Regions from separate parts of the Mus musculus genome. Here regions 1, 2 and 3 are each reported to be linked to region 4. The links are microRNA targets in miRTarBase. Many come from high-throughput screens and were not tested one by one. Region 4 holds a microRNA gene; each other region holds the end of a gene's coding sequence.

Evidence for each region. Region 4 holds the annotated microRNA mmu-miR-3473c (UCUCUCCAGCCCCCAUAAUAAG, at 3,119-3,140, opposite strand). A microRNA usually pairs through its seed, bases 2 to 8, with sites in the 3' UTR of a target mRNA and lowers its output. Matches are read on the target gene's strand: a 7mer-m8 pairs with bases 2 to 8, a 7mer-A1 pairs with bases 2 to 7 and ends in A, and an 8mer does both.
Region 1: miRTarBase lists Ndrg2 as a target of mmu-miR-3473c. Seed matches in the 3' UTR shown: 7mer-A1 at 1,732-1,738.
Region 2: the mRNA of Mpv17 is a reported target of mmu-miR-3473c. Seed matches in the 3' UTR shown: 8mer at 1,723-1,730.
Region 3: the mRNA of Epb41l1 is a reported target of mmu-miR-3473c. Seed matches in the 3' UTR shown: 7mer-m8 at 3,726-3,732.

Annotation. Positions count from the first base shown.
Region 1 is chr14:51,901,839-51,907,501 of GRCm38, reverse strand. It overlaps Ndrg2 (N-myc downstream regulated gene 2), which reads left to right. Exons shown (of 15, transcript NM_001145959.1): 11 at 205-256; 12 at 506-553; 13 at 777-812; 14 at 938-989; 15 at 1,196-2,231. The coding sequence ends at 1,362. Among named protein-coding and RNA genes, the nearest start is that of Ndrg2, 8.8 kb to the left of the region's middle.
Region 2 is chr5:31,137,370-31,143,032 of GRCm38, reverse strand. Mpv17 (MpV17 mitochondrial inner membrane protein) reads left to right here. Exons shown (of 8, transcript NM_008622.6): 8 at 1,183-2,370. The coding sequence ends at 1,252. It overlaps Trim54 (tripartite motif-containing 54), which reads right to left. Exons shown (of 9, transcript NM_021447.2): 9 at 5,407-5,556. The coding sequence ends at 5,540. Ucn (urocortin) reads left to right here and starts at 4,138. Exons shown (of 2, transcript NM_021290.2): 1 at 4,138-4,236; 2 at 4,500-5,044. The coding sequence starts at 4,513. The coding sequence ends at 4,881. It overlaps Gm15469 (a long non-coding RNA gene), which reads left to right and starts at 5,596. Exons shown (of 2, transcript XR_003955738.1): 1 at 5,596-5,663.
Region 3 is chr2:156,538,463-156,544,125 of GRCm38, reverse strand. Epb41l1 (erythrocyte membrane protein band 4.1 like 1) reads right to left here. Exons shown (of 25, transcript NM_001368800.1): 25 at 914-4,316. The coding sequence ends at 4,308. Among named protein-coding and RNA genes, the nearest start is that of Aar2, 6.3 kb to the left of the region's middle.
Region 4 is chr1:191,995,484-192,001,146 of GRCm38, forward strand. Mir3473c (microRNA 3473c) reads right to left here and starts at 3,151; the gene lies at 3,071-3,151. Traf5 (TNF receptor-associated factor 5) reads right to left here. Exons shown (of 14, transcript NM_011633.2): 13 at 4,315-4,485; 14 at 1,720-2,524. The coding sequence ends at 1,947.

The DNA of each region.
Region 1 (5,663 bases), not on the chromosome of region 4:
GTTACCAGTCTCCCTGATTCCATTCTGTGTAACAAGCTGTCTTCCTTTGGGGCTTCCCTCTCGATCCTCCTGCTGAGTCAGCAGGAGAAAGGCAACTGGTTCCTCCTCCTCCTCGGAGGCAGACACTTGTTTAGCTGCTTTTCTGGGAAGTGTCGGTGAGAGAGTACAAGGCTCACTGTCTTCTCCCTGACCCCGTGCCCCTAGGTGCCCTGTGATGCTGGTGGTTGGAGACCAAGCACCTCATGAAGATGCCGTGGTCAGTGGTGGCTTTTGGGGTAGTGAGGGAATGTTGGGGTCTTGTCAACACTGGGTTCACCCAAGCTGTGGACCTTGCCAAGCTGCAAACTCGAAAACTCTGGGGCAGGAGGAGCAACTCTAGGACCTTAGGAATTTGACTTGGGTTAAGATGTAATTGGGTAGGGGCTGACGAAAGGGAAAAGATCGGGGTCCCTTGGAGGGCTGTGGAGAGGGCGACCTGATTCATTCAGTCTCCTACCTATTCCAGGTGGAATGTAACTCAAAGCTGGACCCCACACAGACCTCGTTCCTCAAGGTTAGCGGGCCTCCTAAGCCTCACTTGCTCCCCGCTCCCCAGTCCAGGAGCATACATACTCTAAATTCCAGTGTCTAAGCCCTGTGGGTTCATTGTGGGTCAAGGGAGAGGAGAACAAAGGGGCTGAGTGAGGGACCTGGGAGGAGAGAGCCCCTTTCCCGCGGCATGGATCGTCTGATATCTCCATGTATCCTTCTTCCCTGGGTGTTTCCTTCCTGAGCAGATGGCCGACTCTGGAGGTCAGCCACAGCTGACTCAGGTGAGTATAGTGCCCATCTTGGGACGAGGAAATGGGACGTGTTGTGCCCTTTGCCATTGCTGTGACTTTCAAGATATCTAACCATCTCTTTCTCTCTCTTCTCTTTCCTTGTAATATGCCCACAGCCCGGCAAGCTGACAGAGGCTTTCAAGTACTTCCTGCAAGGCATGGGCTACAGTGAGTATTGGGACAGAGGGTATTAGGAAGGGCTTCCCACTGTGAGGGTAGACCTGTTTTAGGCTAATTCTTGGACTCATCATCTTACAAGGCAAGCTCGCTGATTCTCTGGCCGCAGCTCTTGTCTTCACCTAGGCCCCACTAGAAGTTACCAGCTGTCTTCCCCACTCATCTCTGATGGCTTGCTTATCATTGTGTGTCTACAGTGGCCTCTTCCTGCATGACTCGCCTATCTCGGTCTCGCACAGCATCTCTGACCAGTGCAGCATCCATCGATGGCAGTCGGTCCCGATCCCGCACCCTGTCGCAGAGTAGCGAGTCTGGGACTCTCCCTTCTGGACCCCCAGGGCACACCATGGAAGTCTCCTGTTGAATGACCCTCATTGCCTTGGTGTGGATCCCAGCCCTCACCTCCTGCAACACTAATTTAAGAGGTGTTATCAGGGCACTGGGCCAGAGTAAGCAAGGAAAATGGGCAGATTGTGCAGGGAGATGACCTTGATCTTTAATTGCTACCCTAACCTTGACCTTTAACCTGTGATATCCTCTAGCTCCTAGGTGAGGTGTCCTAATATCTCTTAGAGATCTGGGCCCCCTAAATTACCCCCTCTTCCATTTTGGTGTTGAGAAGGCTTGTATGTTCTCTCCCTGACCTAGGTTCTATAGATGAGGAACAATGAGCTGTTCTAGCTGACACGGGGCCTCCATCACTCCCCCTCTTTAGCCCATATTTGCAAGGGTAGGAGAGAGAGTGTGTGTGTGTTGTGTGTGTGTGTGTGTGTGTGTAGGGTTGATGGTGAGAGATGGGGAGCTCCTTCCCCAAAGCTGACAGTGGCTTTGCCTTGATGTGTCAGGCCTCTCTGAAGGCAATAGTCCCAAATGAATGTTTATCAGGAGAAGGTTTGCTGGTGGGTCAGTGATCCTTAATGTGATAGAAATATCCAGCATGTAAAAAGAAAGGATGGGAGATGGTGGCCCGTGAAGAACAGTGGTAAACACATTGAAGCTGGGGTAGAAGGGAGGGGCCCGGGTCCTTTGGCCACACTAACTTGGATAGCTGTCAGCGTGCACCTAAAGTGGGACTAAGGGAAAGAGCTTAGGTCCGACTGCTTGGGGCTTGGCATCAGGGTGGGAAGAGCTACCTCAGGCTCTGACCATACTGTGACGTGTAGAGCGTGACCTCCTGTCTCACACAACTTCTGCTGTGACAATAAACTATAGAGGAAACTGAACAGCATTGTTAATCCGGGTCTGAATGCGCCTGTACCCTGCCCCTTGCTTGCCTTTCCTTGTTCCTCTGAAAGCACCTGGGATGGCTTGTGGGGTATAAAAGCTGCACAGAGTGTGACCACGGGAGCCAAGAAAGTGGTGTCATTCTTTTTATTAATAGCATTTTTAAGCTTGGGAAAGAGGAGCTGTTGTAGAGATGTCATCAATATCATGTCCTTTAAGAAAACCGACTGAGGGGCTGGAGAGATGGCTCAGCGGTTAAGAGCACTGGCTGCTCTTCCAGCCGTCCTGAGTTCAGGTCCCAGCAACCACATGGTGATGGAATCTGATGCCCTCTTCTGGAGTCTGAAGACGGCTACAATATATTTATTTATTATATGTAAGTACATTGTAACTGTCTTCATACCTGCCAGAAGAGGGCATCAGATCTCTTTAAGGATGGTTGTGAGCCTCCATGTCACCTTTGCGTTACCTAGAGTACATTTTAGATGGATCATTCAGCAAGAGAGTAAACTCGGACACAGAGTGCTACGTACCACAGGGCACTGCTGCTTATAAGTTCATCCTATTTGTGATTCAAGAAGGTCACAGTCAAAGGGACTTCTTTTTAGGATTTTACTCACTGATGGATTCCAGGGGATCTGGGAGCAAAATGATGGTTCTGTAAGAGGCCGTTAAGCAATTATGAGTAACAACCATGGGGATTCAGATGTCTTGTAGCTGTCGCAGGTTCCTTCTTGGACTCTCGAGGCAAAAGGAGGGGGCTGGGGAGATGGCTCAGCATGTACAGTCCTTGTGCCACCATGACGACCTGTGTTCTGATCCCTAGCATACACTGAAAAAAAAAAATCTGGGTTTGACTGTGCACGTATAATCCCATGGCTGGGAGGCAGAGACAGGAGGACCCCAGGGGCTCACTAGTGGGCTAGCCTAGCCCATCAGTGGACACCATTTTCAGTTGGGACCTAGTATTGAGAGAACATTCTTCCTGAGGGTGTGGGGCTAAGCACTGTATGTCTCCTCATGACGCCCCAATAACAAAGCAAAGCTCAGCTCTATCAGAGTTCACCCTGGGGGGCCACCGAGTTCACTAAGCTTTCATAGAGATTATGGGTAACTTTAAGGCAGGTACCCTGGAAGGTCTGTACCCAGCCTAGGTGGTGACTCCCCGTTTGCGGCTCAGGTGGAGCTCTCGTCTAGTGTTCCCTGGGCTGTAGACTGTAGACTGCTCCCTCCCCAGGACTCCCAGGCCTCATGGAATTTGGCACAAAGGGCTGAGTTCTCAGGTGAGGGTCCTGTGACCCTGCTTCCTGCCTACGTGCCAACACGCCCAGGCGTGCTGATCTTTTACAAGCAGGAGTGACAACGGTGGCTGTTTGATTTAGAGGGTTGGGCTGGATGACACCCAGTCTCAAAAAATTAGGCGTAGAGTGATGGAGGAATCAACCCAAAGTCCACCTCTGCCTTCACACGTAGGTGTACAGACATAAACACTCAGGAGTACACTGTGAACATGCGCATGCGCGCGCGCACACACACACACACACACACAAATATGAAGGAGAAAGCACTTTATGAATTATGTAGATAGAATATTGTTTGCGATCATTAAAGCTTGCTTTATGGAAATCCCAACTGTCGCATTTCTTCAATGGCAGTGAGTGGGAAACTGGGCCCCTTGACATCAAGTGCTCACATTCCAACACGGTAGTGAGCCACTGTGTCCTTGTTGCTGAGGCTTTTCTTTCTTGTGCTGGGGATTGGACCCAGGACCTTGTGCGTGCTAGGCCAGTGCTCTACTACTGAGCTGCAGCCTTACCCCTAAGCCTATTTCCATGTTGTAGGCCAGTGTCAGAAGAGGGCGTTAGTGGGTTAGAGTTAGCTGCTGGATGGGTGTTGGGTCAGACAAAAAAGATTGCTGAAATGCCACAGGGAAAGAATGCAAAGCATGTAATCACTGGGGTCATTTAGCCCAACGTAAGGAAAAAGTGAAGCCCTAAGACCTCAACCAGCCTTTACTGGTAGAGCTGCTGTTGTGTATTATGGAAGGGAAGAGGAATCTTTGCTTGGTATCTGCCTACGAAAGTAGTACTGTTAGCAGAGTGATTTTCACATTTCATTTAAGTGTACATGTATGTGCATACAACTATAGGTGTTTCTGCTCCAGAATCTAAGGCAGGTGAAGAGGTGTTTTGCAGGAACTTGGGGGAGGACATTTGGTGTCTCTGGTTGACCCTAGTTTTTGGACCTACATAGTCTAGTTCACCTGTGGAGTCACAGCGCCGCCCTGTGGCCAGCCCCCAGTCTTACAGCCCTATTGTTCATGAACATAAGGCAGCCCTGAAACCAAGACCTGCTTTGAATCTTGTTTTTTTCCTAAGGAATTTGAGTGTCTTCCAGACATTAGGGGCAGGTGAGGTAAGAAACAGCTCAAGAGAATGAGAAATCAGAACAGAGTGAAAAAGGACCTTACAGTCAGTTTGAAGCTCTTATGAGTTTCATAATGACATTTTGGCCAGCCCTACATATATCTCACCACTTATGTGACAATAGACCCACAGTATTCTCTTACAGACGCCAATGGCTTCTTGGGTTGTGTAGCACATTCTCCAGTGTTTTCTCAACGACAAAAACATTACTGAATATATGCTTCTCAGAACATATCCTTGTCTTTAAGCAATATATAATTGTACAGACCTTACAGTAGGCAGAAGTGAAACCAAGATCAGAAGAAAGGTTGGAGTGGGAACAGCACCATTGAAAGGTAAGTCAGGAGTAACCTGAAAAGAGGGATGGATTCCGACCTGAGACTCAGGGTTCAGCAAGGATATATGGTGCCCGGAGCAATTTAACTCTCCCTCATGATGGTGAATTCATAGAAAATATAGGGTATACTCTGATAGGACCAGGTAGAGTCACTACGAACACAAAACCAGAAACCAAAACTAAAAACAAACAAAAAAACAAAACCAAAACCAACCAACCAAAGAAACAAAAAATCACCAAAACAAAACAAAACAAAACAAAACAAACAAAAAAACCCAACCCAAACCAAACAAAACCCCAAACCATCTTTTATATAGGCTGGGAATTTGTAAGCATCCCCAGAGATTGCATTTGAGGCATAATCTATTTTTGCTTCCTCTTTGCTAGTGCAATGGGCATCTCCTCAGGTTGCCGAGGGTGTCTGTGCTCCCACCCCAGCTCTGTAAGCTCTGGCATTGTTCTTTACACTCCACAGCTTCTTCAGGGAAGGACCGAGAGGCACAGGTTACCCCAGCAGAGTGAGTCTGAGGCTTTCACTCAACTCTCTCTTTGGTCCTGGGGATCAAACCCAGTTCCTCACTCACACTAAGCAAGGAGCCGTCAAATGTTGATCTTTGCCTGAAGACCTGTTCTTTCTGCTCCAGTAAAGTCTCTGAACTCTAGTTTCTCTTGCATTCC
Region 2 (5,663 bases), not on the chromosome of region 4:
AGTTGGATTTCTATGAGTTTGAGGCTAGCCTGATCTGCAGAGCATGTTTCTAGGCTAGCCAAGGCTATATAGAGAGAGCTTATCTCACATCAAACAAACAAATAGTTTTGTTTTTTGTTTTTTAACATGTGTGGCTGTGTACATGTGTGAGCAGGGGTACAGACACAAAAAGACAGCATCAGGTTCCTTGGAACTAGAGTTACAAACCATTGTGATCTGCCAGGTATGGGTGCTGGGAACCAGGGTTAGATCTTCTGGAAAGGCCAGATATGAGAGTGCATACTTTTTATCCTGACACCAAAGAGTCAAAAGTGGGAGGATCAGGTGTTCAAGAGTTCAAGACTGTCTTTGGTGATCTAGTGACTATAAGTGTTCTCTCTCCCTCCAGATAGATAGATAGATAGATAGATAGATAGATAGATAGATAGATAGATAGATAGATAGATAGATAGATAGATAGATAGATAGATAGATGTGAATGGATGACAGCAGGCAGGGCATTATTTTTAGAAGTGAAATCTTGGGCTGGTGAGATGGCTCAGTGGGTAAGAGCACCCGACTGCTCTTCCAAAGGTCCGGAGTTCAAATCCCAGCAACCACATGGTGGCTCACAACCATCCATAACAAGATCTGATGCCCTCTTCTGGTGCGTCTGAAGACAGCTACAGTGTACTTACATATAATAAATAAATAAATAAATCTTTAAAAAAAAAATAAAATAAAAAGAAGTGAAATCTTGGCTGATATAAGGTATACAGATATATTTGGAAAGGTCTAGGTAGACGAGTCATTTATTGAAAGAGAGCTGCTGGATGGGTGATATGACTCAGTGGGTGAGAGCCCTTGCTGCCAGACCTGATGCCCTGAGCCCATGCCTTGGAACCCACATGGTAGAAGGAGAGATCCGGCTCCCCAGAGTCGTCCTCTGACTTTCATGTGCATACATACACACATAGACAAAATTAATAAGGAAAAGGAGTGAGCTGTGAGGCCTTCATCTGACAGGCGGAGCTCTGAGATAGAGCAGGACTGAACTGGTTGTCTCCTGGTCTGAAGCTGCAGTCCCTACTCATGGGGCTCAGAGGAACACAGCCCAAACCTGGAACTTCCTGCGTAAGTCCTTTCCATTGCTCTCCCTACCCTGCTCCTTCTCTTCTTCACAGTAGCATTCTTGTCCCTTAGGTTGGCTGTTGTCCAGTGTGTTGCTATTGTCTGGAACTCCTACCTATCCTGGAAGGCACATCAGTTCTAAGCGTGCCTTGTTCCATGGTTTGCACCTTGTACTGATGCACCGTGACCCTGGAATGCTTGGACAGCTTCTTCAAACTAACCACATCAGGACTGGAGCGGTGACTCAGCTGTTAGAAGCACGGATTATCTGCTCTACAGAGGACCTAAATTTGGTTCCAAGCACCCACATCGGGTGGCTCACAACTCCCTATGTCTCAAGCTCCAGGAGATCTGATGTTCTCTTCTGGCCTCTGAAGCACCTGCACAAACATGTATATACCCACGAATAGACACGCATTTGTAATTAAGCACACAATGAAATCTTTAAAAGGAAGGAGTGTGTCAGCTTCCATGCTATGGGGTTGCTGATCAGAATAGGGTGACCACTCTGAAGTGGCACATTTCACTTTAACCACTAAGACATTTATAATATTGCTGTCACTCTGGCCCTTAGCTGATGGGGACACACTATAAGAATTGTGTCCTGGGGGCTGGAGAGATGGCTCAGCCTGTAAGAGCACTGACTGCTCTTCAGAAGCTCCTGAGTTCAAATCCCAGCAACCACATGGTGGCTCACAACCATCTGTAAAGAGATCTGACGCCCTCTTCTGGAGTGTCTGAAGACAGCTACAGTGTACTCATATTTAATTAATTAATTAATAATTAATTAATTAATATAGAATTGTGTCCTGGAAGCCAGGCATGGTGGTACATGCCTTCAATCCCAGCACTTGGGAGGCAGAGGCAGGCAGATTTCTGAGTTCAAGGTCAGCCTAGTCTACAGAGTGAGTTCCAGGACAGCCAGGGCTATACAGAGAAACCCTGTGTCAGGAAAAAAAACAAAAAAACAAAACCAAAAAAAAAAAAATGAAAGTCTGTGTCAGTCTCAACCTAGTGACAATCCTGCCTCAGCTTCTCAGCTTCTCAAATGCTGGATTAGAGAATTGTGTCTTGGGCTACAGATATCGCTCAGTGATTAAGAGCACTGACTGCTCTTCCAGAGGTCCTGAGTTCAAGTCCCAGCAATCACATGGTGGCTCACAACCATCTGTAATGGGGTCTGATGCCCTCTTCTGGTGTGTCTGAAGACAGCTACAGTGTACTCATATACATTAAATAAATAAATCTTTTTTTAAAATCAAACAAGAATTGTGTCTTTAGCAGTTTTGTCACTGTGCACACATAAGGAGTATACTTATGCAGATGGTAACAATCAGTTGCTCAACATGGCCTCTTCGTGCACAAGCATGTGGTGTATTTTTCTGCTGCCAGTCTGACATGGTATACTGTTTTACAGAGAGCTTTTTCATATGTAGAACACTGTCATTAAGATGTATACGCTGTACATAATTGCACAAGATATACTTCCATATTACTGCCAGCTTGGTCTGTTTCCACCAGCATTATTGCAGATTCATGAATAATGCACCAAACTGAGACATAAGAACTAATGCTGCTATGTGGTAGGGATATTTCAGCTCCGCTATGATTATCTGAAGCCACCATTGTGTGTTGCCATCACTGACTAAAAGGTTGCTATGCAGCATGACTGTCTACATTCCCACCACATAGTATATTCCTCACAGATATTTGTAGAATAATATGACCTTGCCAACTTTACACCTATGTCCCAATAGCTAGCACACGTCCCCACTCTGTATAGATACAACTTCCTGTCTAGAGTTGAGACTTGAACTCAGCATTGTGGATGCTAGTCACGTGCTCTAACAACTAAGCAACATCCCTAGACTAGAGTGGCTATCACGCTTAACTTTTCTAGGTCCTAGTGCCTTTCGAGACCCTGTCAGGGACTTTATAGGCACAGAAATAGATACATTATTATCTGGGATCTGCAGTGGCTATGAATAAGACCCTTCAGAAGAGCACAGACCTGTCTGTAACTGGAAAGAAGCAGAGGCTGTTCATTTACAAAGACAGACGCCAATGGTTTCAGAAGTGAGGGACCTGACTACACAAGCTGGTGGCAGAGGAGGAACTTGGGCCAAAGTTTTCTCACTTCTACCTAGTGATTTCTTCGTTTTCGTGTGTGTGTTTGTGTGTGTGTGTGTGTGTGTGTGTGTGTGTGTGTGTGTGTGTGTGTGTGTTCAAAACTGGGTTTCTTTGTGTAGTCTTGGAACCAGCTCAGTAGACCAGTCTGGCCTCAAACTCAGAGATCTGCCTGCCTCTGTCTCCTGGGTGCTATGATTAAAGGAGTGCACCAGCACCACCCCAGCTCCTGACCTAGAAGGTAAAAAGGTATAATAGTACTGTTTCTGTGTTTCCTAGGAAAAAGCTGACTTTGCCAAACTCAGGAGGTACGTTAAGTTCTGAAAGCCAAACACCCTTTTATGCCATTCTGACACCTGTAGATTTTAGTTTGTACTGCTGTACAATGGTCAGTAGAATGGGTCAGACCCACTGTATTGGAGAGCCTTTGGGTGGGACTGTGTTGTCTGAGCCCCTGCCAGCAGAGCATTTCTGATCTCAATTTGAGGACCCAGTAGCCGGCCTAGGGACCGTGTCTAAGCAGCCCAGGCTTCTCCCCAGAACTTCTGTCCAGATTGTGGCTGTGAAGAAGTTCGGAACCACGGACAGCTCCACAGTCCTCCCTCTCTACTTGAGAAGAGAAACAACCCCTGACTATTCCTGCTCTGGAGACATTGGTGGTTCTGTGTCGGGGAAGGACTCTGCATCCGGAAGATCTATCTTTATGGCTCTGCCAGCTTCTCCCTCTACAGCCAGGGTGCTTCCAAAGATAGCTCCAGGGACACAAAGTCAGGATACGCACCCCTCTGGGGGCTCGAAGCTGCTGGACTCAAAGCTGCCGGTGTCATTGTTTCTACAATCAGTTCATGTTCTTCGCTGACGTCAGTCGGAGCTGTCCTGGTGCTATATAAGGCTGGCGGCGGTCCCGGGACAGACCCCGTGCTCCCCAAGGCGTCTTCAGCCCGTCCCCGGGGACAGAGTGGAGCTCCATCTTGCACTGGGCAGACACTCCGATAACCTGTGAGTGGCTTGAAGCAACGATCCAGACTCCCTTACCACCAAGACTCTGCACTCAGCCCACCCACTGTGACCTGCCGGGAGGGAAGGAGGGAGAGAGGGGTGGAACTGGACTGGCACAGCGCCTAGGGCTGGTGGGCAGGATGTGGACACCAGGCAACAGCTGGAGGGTCTCGGCAGGGGCACTGGGCGTGCGCGCCAAGGGGCTCGTGTTACCTGCGGCTGCTCCAAGTGCACCTCACCCTATGCTGCCCCTGTGTGTCCAGGGCAGGCGGCACCATGATACAGAGGGGACGCGCTACGCTCCTGGTGGCGTTGCTGCTCTTGGCACAGCTTCGCCCGGAGAGCAGCCAGTGGAGCCCAGCGGCTGCGGCGGCAACTGGGGTCCAGGATCCGAATCTGCGATGGAGCCCTGGAGTGCGGAATCAGGGCGGCGGCGTCCGCGCGCTCCTCTTGCTGTTAGCGGAGCGCTTCCCGCGCCGCGCAGGATCTGAGCCTGCGGGCGAGCGGCAGCGACGGGACGACCCTCCACTGTCCATCGACCTCACCTTCCACCTGCTGCGGACCCTGCTGGAGCTAGCTCGGACACAGAGCCAGCGCGAGCGCGCAGAGCAGAACCGCATCATATTCGATTCGGTGGGCAAGTGATCGGCCCCGTATGGGGTCACGAAAGCCTTGACCCTTTCCCTTACCTACCCCGGGGCTGGAACGCGCACAACCGGAGCTGTCTCAGTCCCGCGGTGCAGCGCCGCCCAGAGTCACCCTGAATACTCTGAGTGGTTATTTTTTAATAAAACTGCCCAAGAGCTTAGCCTCTATCTTCTGTCATAGTGGTGAGAGGGCACCGGCAACTACAGTTAGGGTAAGAACTTTTGGGAAAGTGGAGCTCTCCAGGCCGGTAGGAGAGACAAGCATGCTAAATGAGATGGGAGAGGAAGCCTATTAAATTCCTGGGAGCCCTTCCCCCAACCCGCCAGATCCCGGAACTCGGAGGTCTGATACCCTTTCAGGGTCTCCGGCTTAGGAGGCAACCTCTAGTGTAAAGGGAATGGCCACGAGGGACTATTTCGCCTCCGCCCCTTCAGATGGTCTGGGGTTGAGAAAGGGTAGAGCGATGGCGAGGTTGCTTCTATAGCTGAGCCTAGGAGTGGACAGCAAAAGGAGCCGAGGACGTGGGACACTTGAGTCCTTTATTGAGAACCTTCCCGGGGGCGGGAAGCCGAGCTTGGTGGCGCGGTGGTCTCTGCGCAGATCCTCAGCATCCCTTGGCTCCCGCTTCGGGTGTGCGCTCTGGATCAGAGTCGGGTCAGTGCAGGCCTGAGCCTGGGGGGGGGGGGGGAATTAACCGCCCGGTGAGCGGGTGCTCCAAACGAACAAGGCACTCCCGACAGCTCGCTCTCCCAGGCAGCGGGGGTTCTATTACACGGTAC
Region 3 (5,663 bases), not on the chromosome of region 4:
TAAAGATGGGAGGGCAGCTTGCAGGTTCTCTCCTTCCATCCTGTAGGTCCCGGGGATTGAACTTAGGCTGTCAGGCTTGGTGGCAGGTGCTTTCACTTTATCTGCTGAGTCATCATTGGCCCCCTAATTTCCTTTCTTAAATAATTATTTTCAAAGTGAATTCCTTTAAGGAAAAGTAAGTCAGCAGTGGGATGGGTGACATGAGCCCGTGCTGGGTCTGCTGTGCACATTTCTCACTAGGCTCCCACGTGGGGAGTTGCTCTTCTTTCAAAAAGACAGATTACACTACACCTCCCCTCCCAGGTCTTGGGACCCATATACTTACTGTCCCCTTGGCCTAGAAAGTCTTACTGGTTCTTTCTCTTTATTTGGCTCAAAAAGAAAAAAAAAAGATCTCCTTAGGGAAGTCCTTCAACTGGTCAACCACTATTTTTTTTATCTTTGTGAGGGGTGGGGTCTTGTTAAAGTGGTCCTCTCCACCTCCTTCCTCAACATGTCTCCTTCCATGTGCTGATCTCTAGCCAGTTTTTTTTTTTTTTTTCCTGTTTCACTGTTCCCCCGCACTGGACTGAGAGCCTTTGACTAGCAAGGGCTTTGCGCTTGCGCCCAGGGAGCCTAAGCCAAGGCGTGAGTGCCGTGGGAGCTCTAGACATTTCCTGATTAAAATTATTCTATATTAGAGCCTAGATTGGAGCCTGGCTTCAATCTCAGCACGAGGAAGGGCAAGGGAGGTGGGTCTCTTTTGAATTCCAAGCTAGGGCTATGTAGTGAGACCTTATCTCAAAAGCAAAACCAAAGTGTTGGATGTTGGGTATCTCCACTCCAGTTCTCTATCAGCTTGGACCAGCAGCCAAGGTCAGAGAGGAGAGGCAGAGGGGAGGGGGAGAGAGGGAGGCTGAGGGAGTCCATGGTTCAGCATCAAACACATTTATTTCACTTTTATTGATTATACAAGAACAGAGAGCACACGCATACAGCACGGAGCACTGAGGTGGGGAAGCGTGGGGACGAGAGAGGAGAGAGGGGACTGGGAGAAAAGGAACAGGACAGCATTGCAGGTGGCTGCTAAGGTGCTTTTGAAAAAAAAATAGATATCTAGAGTGATGTTGCTCATGCAATTTCAGGCCAGTCTTGGTATGTGCTTGCAGGATTCAGAAACTGAAACAGCTCCTGGCACTTCCTCTGCCCTCGTGTGGAAAAGATTCACAGAAAGCAAACGTGGGGAAAACAAAGGCGCATGAGACACAGAATGGGAAAGAGGCTCAGGGTGTAATGCTTGCCCTGTCCTTTGAGTTATGTGAAATGGGACAGCCCAGTGTCACACGGTGAGTTAGGAGCTGCATTGAGATGCTCACCTGGAACCCTGACTGCTCTAGGTGGCTTTTCTCACTGTTACCTGGCCCCCTGGAGAGCGAGGTGCCACAGAGATGATGAGACAGACACACAAAAAAAGCAAAAGGAAAAAGTAGGCTGAAGTCAGACAACACAACGTCCTTATTCTCTATGAAGTGGAGGAGGGGGAGGAGACGGTGCCCTAGATTTTAGCTGTGCAGGTCTCCTCCTCCCTGGGCGGGGTACTGACTGCCTCTCTGGGAGAAAAAAAAATAGTAAGAACCGGTCAGAACATCCATGGAGTAAGTATCTCCCCAAACCCTAATGTCCCACGAGCTAAGCTGGGTCATTTCGTCCTTGCCCTGTAGCCCACATTCAGAGCAGGTACAATGAGGCTCCCTCTGAGGTATGTATGTCTTGTGTGTTCAGGCCGGGGAGTTCCTGCAAAAGTAGGTGAGGCCCGAGCCTGATTCCAAGGTGATAGAGCCGTTCCTGCTCCGGGCTCAGAGAAGCAGTGGGAGCTTGCATGCCGTGAGGAGCAGGAGGGAGGTTCTGTGGCTTCTCCATCAAGAATGGCCAAAGATCCTGGAGCAGAGACAATGTGCTGCCCCACTGGAGCAGGGCAGGCCTACCAGCCTGCACCGGGGGCATATGGCTGGCTCTGTTATCTAAGAGCTTGGCTCGTCTCAGCTGCCACAGAGACAGAAGCTCTCCTAGCTTCTTGCCCTGTGTCAGGCCAGCACCTGTGAGTAGGGAAGGTGTACATCACAAGAGTAACCAAGAAGCAAGCCAAGAGAACACATCCAGCCGGGGCTCTCCCGGAGACATTTCACGGGACTGTCTCATCAGGTGGAGGGCGTGAAGAAGGGTACTGAAAAGAGCCAGCTATGGATAGGGACAGACAGGCTTGTCCAGTGGCTTCCCAGGTCCCTCCCTCTCCTTCTGCCTTGAAAACAGAGCCTGACACAAGCAGGAAACTGGTAAACATCTGTTGACTAAATGTATGAAGTGCCTTAGCAGGACAGGAAGTGAGATGGGACTGCCGTGGGATACTTTCACTCAGAAAGGGAGAGACATTGAGAGCAAGCCAGAGGAAGCCTGTATGTGCCAGGCCGAAATAGCAGCCTGTGGCAGCGTTTTCTCCAAGGGCTCCTGTCACCTCAAGGCCATTTCTGAGCTTAGATACTGACTGATGGAGGTCCTGCAAGCCAGGGTCTGATGCAGATGGAGCCGGATGGCAACACTTCCTCAAGCCTGCTCTAGTTTAGGGATGGCTGAGGCTTTTGGAAATGCAGCATGGGCCTATTGTGGCCTTCCCTGTGCTCATGGCCTCTTTATCGTGGCTACTTTAGCTCAGGAAGAAGAGGATGATTCACAAGACAGACAGAGGCAGAGGGGAAAGGCTGGCTGGGCATTTCAGAAAACCAGGTTAGAGTCGCTGTTCTCCACCTTAGCTAGGACCCCACCTCCCTTTAAAGAACTCATTGTGATGAGGTGCTGAGGAGCAGAGCAAGACATGGCCGAGCACAAACCCAAACAAAGACCCTGGTAATAGGAAACAGAGAGAGAGAGAGAGAGAGAGAGGACCGAAAACCAAGGCGAGCCCCCTGGAGGTAGGAGGACTGACCTACAGAACCTCAGCAGTAGTGTCCTGAGCACAGACCAGGCCCTGGCAGCTACTGCTGGGGAAGAAGGCATTTTGGCCTGGCATATTCGGGATGACATCTGTGTTGCTCCCTTCTGGCCGGAACCCTCACCTCTTCACGGAGGGCTTCTCCACTCTCCCCACCAATCACCCAGTTACAAACACCACACACAGTTTCACTACACTGAATCTGTCAGCCCTACTGGGAGCTGGCCACACCCAGAGTCCAGTGTTCTCAGCTGGGCCAGTTTGGCAAGATCTAGGAACCTTAGGATACATCAATCACAGTCAGGTAATTATAACTTGGAAATGTCAGCTGCATACTTACCAGCACAGTTTATTTTAATATTTGTTTCCTGTTACATGTAATATACATAACTTAAAATCACAGTCATATAATCTCCTACAAGCTGCACCTCCGTCATGAGAAACCGGAAGCACACAGTGTCTACTTCCCTTCCCATGGCTTCTGTTTGCTCTTGTAGTTTCTTTTTCTTCCAATGAGAGTTACCTGCAGTGGCCCTCAGCAGGACCAGGACACAGAACAGGAGGGTTGGGAGAGAGGCAGAGGGGAGCTGAGACAGAATATGAAGACAGGATGAGTAGAGGTCAAGGGTGAAGCGGGGAGGCAGAAGAACAGAGAAGGGATTTTGCAGCCCAGTGTCAAGACCCAGAAAGGAACAACTGAGCGTTCCTCCTCCTCCTCCTCCTCCTCCTCCTCCTCCTCCTCCTCCTCCTCCTCCTCCTCCTCTCCATGGGGGAGACTTCCATTCTTTCTTGGCAAATAGCCAACCGTGCGTGTCTTGCTGCTGTGACTTCTCTTCCTTGGCTCCGTGATCTAATTTCTTTCTTCCTTTGCATTAGAGGGAGCAACAGAGGCTGGAGAACAAACGGGGTGCTCGTCCATCCTGGAGTCTGTGCAGCTGGGGTTCAAGGGAATGTCTACAATCATGGCGGTCTGCTTTTTTAGTTTGCAGGAGAAGGGGTTTGGGGAGTGAGAGATTATGATTGTTATACATTTTCCTGAAAAAAAATTCCCACCAATTCGATTTGTCTGCAAAGGAAATGAAGGTTGTTGCAGATGTTGGTCGTGGCCATCAGCTGACTGCTCCGCCAGCCCCAGCAGCGGTGCAAGGACGCGGTGTTTCCTGTATATATATCTATATCTCTATATATCTATATATATATGCTTTCCCTTCCCAGTCTCTCTTCAGTGACAGTACGTCGCAGCTGGGATGTTGGTATTGTCGGAGAATCCAGAGTGAAGGCCCCTTCTTAATGGCTCTCTGGCTTGGGTTGGACCAGACACGCCAGCATCTCTTCACAGAGGTCAGGATTCCTGGATGCCAGAGGGTGGGAAATTAGTTACTTTACCCATTCGCCTTTAAACACACAGCAGCAGTTTTAGCTACCTTTTACCTGCATTGTGGCTCAGAGAGAAAGAGAGTGATCTATCCAAGGCTATACAACTTACTTGGGAATGACTCAAACGCACCTAACTCCAGCGTCGTGTGCACACATGTGTGTGCATGTGCGGAGGTGACGTCTTTTGCTTTGTTCTGACAACCTTTTAAACAGTCCTTTACTGTGGAGATGCTATGGTCCCCATCAGTTTGCTTTTCTCCCTTGTTCCTCTCAGTTCTCTGCCTGCTTCACCCTGGCTGCGGGTCTTCTGGCTTCCTTTGCTTTTCCTATCTATTCCCCATGGGCATGCTGTGGTCAGGACTAAAGGGCAGTGCTCAAACAAACCAAAACCAAAACCAAAACCAAAACCACAGAGCCTGGATTGTGACTAACACTTAGTCATCTATAGGAGTAAGGACTCTGCAGTCACATTTCCTACCCCTGGCTGTCTGTTCCATCACTGTGGGCAAGTGTGTCGACTCTCTAAGCCTCCATCAACCTCCCTATAAAATGGGACCTACCTTACACAGACAGAGACAGCACGGAGAGGGCCTAGTGTATAGGAATGCTGAATAAATGCCTTGCTGATACACTTGCTCACTGTAGCCCTTGCCCTGACTCCCAATAGCAAGAGCTACCATTTACTCACCTTGCTAATTCAGTGGCAGCTACTCAAGACATTATGTACATGGAACTGCATTCCTGACTCTTGTCACATGGAACTGCATTCCTGACTCTTGTCACTCGCATAGGCTCGGGCGGGTACAATCCAAGTGTCATACAAGAGTCCTTCTTGGCTCATTTGACTGAGGAAACCTTATGCCCAGAGGGTTCTATGGCTTAGCAAGGTGGTGGCAGAATGTAGGTGGGAGTCCAAGGTTACTGTTCTCAAACAGGCCAATCTCTCCCCTCCCAGACAGGTGAGCGAGAGGAGGGGAGGATGCTTTTGGCAGCCAGGTGAGTGCTGTCCTCTTGCTGGCTGCCTTTGGGAGACAGATCGTCTCTGAAGGGGGTGGGTCTGGAGGATCTAAACAATACTGTAGATAGCAACTCATTCTTCTCAGTTGAGGGTCAGCAGTTGCTAGCCCACCATGACAGATGGTAGTGCCTGGCCTACTGTTAGGGACCGCGTACTGTGCGTCAGGCACTATGGTAGTTACCATGCATGAATAATCTCTGTGAGACAGACAGCATGGGAAGTCAGCGTGGTGAGGAACACAGGGGACTCTGGAGTCTAACACTTTAATCAGCTCCCAGCACTGTAGCTGTGGGCATGCCAGTT
Region 4 (5,663 bases):
CATCCTTTGGGACAAGTCCTGTGGCGTGGCTCTAGAATCTTCACTGATCACAGAAGAGATTAAGAGGATTGTTGGACTCACAGAGGCTAGTCAGGTAAGCAGTTTCTACTTAAAAGCAGTATTTTATTTTGTGTGGCTGGGTGCTTTGCCTGCATGCATGTCTGCAAACATGGATGCAGTACCCACAGAGGCCAGAAGAGGGCACCGAATCCCTTGGAATTTGAGTTACAGGTGGTTGTGAGCCTTCCGAGTGAGTGCTAGAAATTGAAATTGTGTCCTCTGAAAGAGCAGCCGGCAGTCTTGACTGCTGAATCATCTCTTGAGCCCCATGTTTTACTTTTAAGATTCATTTATGGTTGTCTATCTGTGAGCATCTATGTGAAGGTGTGTGCAGATGCCCACAGAGGCCAGAGAGAGGACATCAGATGTCGGAGCTGGAGTGCCACCTGACATGGGCACTGTGAACTGAATTCAGATTCTCTGGAAGAGCGGCAAGCACCCTTAGCCACTGAGCCATCTCTGCAGCCCAGGTTCTGTCTCTTACACAGGTTAAGCGCCATCTACAAGAGCATAGCCTCCCCTGTGCCTCTAACGTGACCCTTGTCCCAGGACACTTGTCCTTCCGTGCTTAGGAGCCAATGTTACATGAGCAGTGGAGGATGGCACGGATCCCATTTTCAGTCAGGGCAGGAGGGCAGATCAGTCTGAGGCTTACTGAGCTGAAGGGACAGACAGACCCAAAAGACCAGCGGGTCTCAACCTTCCCAAGGCTGTGACCCTTTAACGCAGCCCCTCATGTTGTGGTGACCCCTAACCATAAGATAATTTTTGTTGCTACTTCATAACTGTAATTCTGCTACTGTTATGAATGGTAATGCAAATATCTGTGATTTCTGATGGTCTCAGGCAACCCCCGAGAAAGGATCATTTGACCCCCAAAGGGGTCGTAACTCACAGGTTGAGAACCACTGCAAAGACAGATCTACAAGAACCCGGTCATTTCTGCTCTCAGAGCACTCAAAATGTTGACAGGAAACTCCGCAAGTTTCTACAAATGCTCATTTTTTGGTCAGCATATGAATTTAAAAGTTCTTCCAGAAGAACAGAAGGGTTCAGACAGCTGCTATCCATGGTGAACAGGTTCCCCTTTTGTCCTTTTCTCATATTTTTCTCTGTCATAACAAATTTGCTCATCCTCACACCCACTGCCATGCAAAGGTCACCTGGCTGAGTTGTGTGAACTGGTATAGTTGACAATTTTACCTAAGAAAATACTTCTCACCTGGTCAAACCTAATGAACTCTGAACTTTCGGTTCACTAAACATCCACTCCTTGGCACCCATTGTGTTAGTGGAGAAGGACGAAGAGCCGACCCATTTCCTAGCTGTTATACAACTTGGCAAACTGTGCTTACATGCAGCTAGTGGATCCTGTATAAAACACAAAAGGGCGATGCGATTTCCAAGCGGTTGGCATCTCCCTGAAGATCTGTGGTCCAAATGCAGCATATGTAGCTACACTGCCCACACTTGACTGGCACAGCCTGCCTGTCTCTTACAAGATGGCTGCTGCAGGCCTAGGCTCAGGTGTGGAAGCACTGAGTCAGCTGATAAATGACAACGAGTGTCAGTGGGAATTCTGCCCCTGTATCAGTCCCGTTGAGCACTGGACTCCCTGAAAACACTTCCCAGACTTCAGTGAGAGAGAGGAGCCCCAGGCCTTGTTGTCAAATTATTATAATTTTTTGGAAGATACAAAAATATAAATAACAGCAATATTTCAAGAGTTTAAAGTTTCAAACCAGGGAAGGATCCAAGATAAAAAGATGACACATCAGACATCGGAGGCAGGAAGACAAGAACAAGAGCCTGCTCAGTCCAGAGGGCTGCGCCCAAGGGACAGCCACACCTTTTCCTGTGCTGAGAAGTTTCCTTATCAGGTAACACTACAGATCCTCCAAGTCAGTTAAATCCACGGCCACTTTCAAGAACAGTGTGTCGTCTTTAATGTAGGTGTTCTTGGAGTTCTCCAGAGTAGAGTGCGACACAAAGCGGGGACAGCCAGAGGCAATGTTCATCTCGCCATCTGGCCTTTTGAAGCTGCTGCTGTTGGGGTCAGCTTTGAAGGTCTCCACAATATGGTTCTTCTTGCCGCTCTGGTCCAAAAGCATCAGGGTCACCCTCTGCCTGAACGGCCACTGCAGCAGCGAGTCAAACTCACCGCGCATCACCACAAAGTACAGGGACAGGTGCGTTCCCTTCCCCGACCCGTCCCCGTTCAGGTACGCCCTGGCACAGAGCCGGTAGCCGCAGCGGCTGGTGTAGAAAGGCTGGCTGAAGACGGACACTGTGTGCCCCTCCACGGCCTCCCTCTTCTTCACCCTGTAATCTGTCACCTTCCAGATGAGCTTGCCACTGTAGCAGGCGCCCTCCAGCTGCTTAAACCGCTCTTCGTTCTTATTCAGCTGTGCTTTGTGGATATTAATGTGTGCGTCGTGCTTGCTGGTCTCCCCCTCTAAAAGAACTGGAAGGAAACACAGGACAGGAGGCTGCAGCTCGGGCCTGTCATCTGAGCACTACCTGTGAACTACTACATGCATTGCTAACATTAACTCAATCGTGGTAAGCTGACGCCAAGCAGACATGGATGTATCCTCCCTCTTCACTCTCAGCTTGCCTGAGTATAAGACACATTGGACATTCACCTCGAGTGAATTCTCATGCTGAGCCTTGTGCCCGTCTAACTGTGTGTGTTTGTGTGTGTGTGCATGCATGCACACGAGTGTGCTTGTGATGTAAGTGTCTGTGCATACTTGCATGTGTTTGGCTGTGAGGTGCTTGTGGCATACAGAGGCCAGAGGTTGATACTGAGTGTCTTCCCCAGTAGTATTTCAGTCTTTTGATGTAGTTCTCTCACTGAATTAAACCCTGATATTCTGGCTAGCTTGTCCTGGAGATCCTGTGTCAGCCTCCAGAGTGCTAGGACCACAGGTAGCCCTCCAGTCCACTCAGCAATCACATGGCTACAAGGATCCAAATTCTAGGTCATGTGTGCAGCAAGTGTGTTATCTACTGAGCCATCTCCCCAACTCCTATAATGAATTTTACATTTAAAAGACTTATTATGGGGGCTGGAGAGATGGCTCAGCAGTTAAGAGCACTGACTGCTCTTCTAGAGGCCCTGAGTTCAAATCCCAGGAACCACATGGTGGCTCACAACCATCTGTAATCAGATCTGATTCCCTCTTCTGGTGTGTCTGAAGAGAGCAACAGTGTACTCACATACATAAAACAAATAAATAAATATCTTTATAAAGTCTTATTATTATTGTTATTGTTGTTACTGTTGGTGGTGCGTGCGTGCGTGCGTGCGTGCGTGCGTGCGTGTGTGTGTGTGTGTGTGTGTGTGTGTAAGTGAAGGCATGTACACCATAGTATACATGTGAAGGTCATAGAACAACTTTCAATAGTTGGTTCTTTCTCTCCACTGTGTGGGTTCCAGAGATCAAACTCTGGGTGTTATAGTTTCAATGAGTTGTGTGTCCTAAGTCCTAAGCATTGGAATACTTGGTCCCCAGTTGGTGGGTTGTTTGGGGAGGATTAGGAGGTGTGGTCTTATTGGAGGAGGTGTGGTCTTGTTGGAGGTGTGGTCTTGTTGGAGGAGGTGTGGTCTTGCTGGAGGAGGTGTGGTCTTGTTGGAGGAGGTGTGGTCTTGTTGGAGGAAGTGTGGTCTAGTTGGAGGAGGTGTGGTCTTGTTGGAGGAGGTGTGTCACTGGGCTTGGGGTTTCAGCAGCTGCTCCAGTGCCATGCCTGCCTGCCTGCTGTTTCTCTATGAGATGGTGGTAAATTCTTATTTCTCTGCAATCATAAGCCCAAATAACACTTCCTCCTACAAGTTACCTTGGTCATGGTGCTTTGTCACAGCAACAGAGAAGCCACTGATACACTGGTCATCTCGATTGCATAGCAAATCACCTGCTAAGCAATCTCACTGGCCCCAGTGCACCAAAGCCTAAGACACCCATCACCTCTCTCCCTTGTTCTTAATGATTACCACTCCCAGCTCTTGGGACTGCCTGGGCCATTTCAGTCTCGTCTGACTCCACACACATGGTGGAGACCCTCATTTTCTGAGGCAGCTAGAATCTCATGCTGCTTCACAAACAGGATTCAGCCACTGGGCAACCCAGAAAGCTGGTTGTGACTTGTTAGCTTCTACCACAAATGCACACAGACAGGGAAGCCATGAGAGGGAACCCGACTGCTTCATACACACACACACACACACACACACACACACACACACACACGTACCTAATCTCTGGTCACTGGCTTCCAGCTGGGTGATCCTCTGTTTCACGCTGTCAACCGCATCCACCAAAGACCTCAGATCAAGTCGACTTGGCTGCTGGTTAACTATTTGTAGCAGCTGCCGCACCTGCGCTTCCAGCCAAGCTGACTTGTCCGTGTGACTGGTGAGAGCCTTGCGGTACAAAAAAGAGAATATGTCTTGGAAACGAGACATCGGATTTGTAGCGTGTTGACTGAATTTTAACACAAACATTTCACATAGAATGATCCACTCATGAAATGGAAGTGGCAGTGTCCAGAGAGGGGGTTCAGTGGACATGGCAGAGTCAGCAGCTGCCATCTTCTTCTTCCTTTCCAGGCTGGACTCCTCTGGTGAATTTCTGAGCTTTCCCCGATGTGTCTAAAGTCTCCCCTCCATGTATTCACATGCACTTTGTGGCCCTCTTGCCTTAGCCTTGCTTCCCTCAGAAGAAAGTTTCCTTTCTGTAAGGAGGTCAAGATTGGGCAGGAGCAGGCAGAGCCTACACACTCTATGGATCTTTCACATGGAGGATATTAATCTGTCTGCCTTGCCCATATAGTCTTAATTCCACCCTATTGCTCTCTGTTTAGGAAAATGTCAGAACTAATAGTGTGATAGGTTCCTTTTTTTTTCCTAGACATACTAACACATACATATACATATGTGCACACACATCTGCACATACGTGCCCAGCACATGTAGAACAGGTGCATACATGTATGTATATATGTATATGCTGTGGTGAAGAAGAATAAAGCTTCTATGGCCTAGATTTCCTGGAACAATACACATTTCAAACACATTGCCCATGTTATATGTCTTTAAATCACTACAAATCTGGTCATGAGAGAACTTTTATTTGTTAGGGGTCCATTTGTGGTTAGTTAACATTCAGGATTCATCGAGTGATGTTTAAGGCATGCCCTTCCCAAAGGGAATTAATGATTTTACACACATACCATGGAAGTATGGTATAAACGTTGCATTTACCAGCATGGGTATAGATATACTCATGTACGAGACAGTGTTACTGTCAGCTGCAGAGGGCCACACACATGCGGTATTCTCTCTGGTGGTCCTTGGCCACACCCAGAAGAGACAAGGGTGCCAGAAACAGAGCAAATGGGACGAAGTGCTGAATGGGATGTGGGAGAGCTGCACTGGTGCCCCTGGCATCACCCACGTCTGGTGGCTTTTCTATGCATTTGAAATGGTTTTCATGTTAAAAGCTAAGAAGAAAACCCCTTGCTGCTCACTAAAAGCTGATCATAGCTTTGAATGGAAAAAGCCATATCTCACCCGGATGTTCTTTCTTTTCTTTAAAAGATTT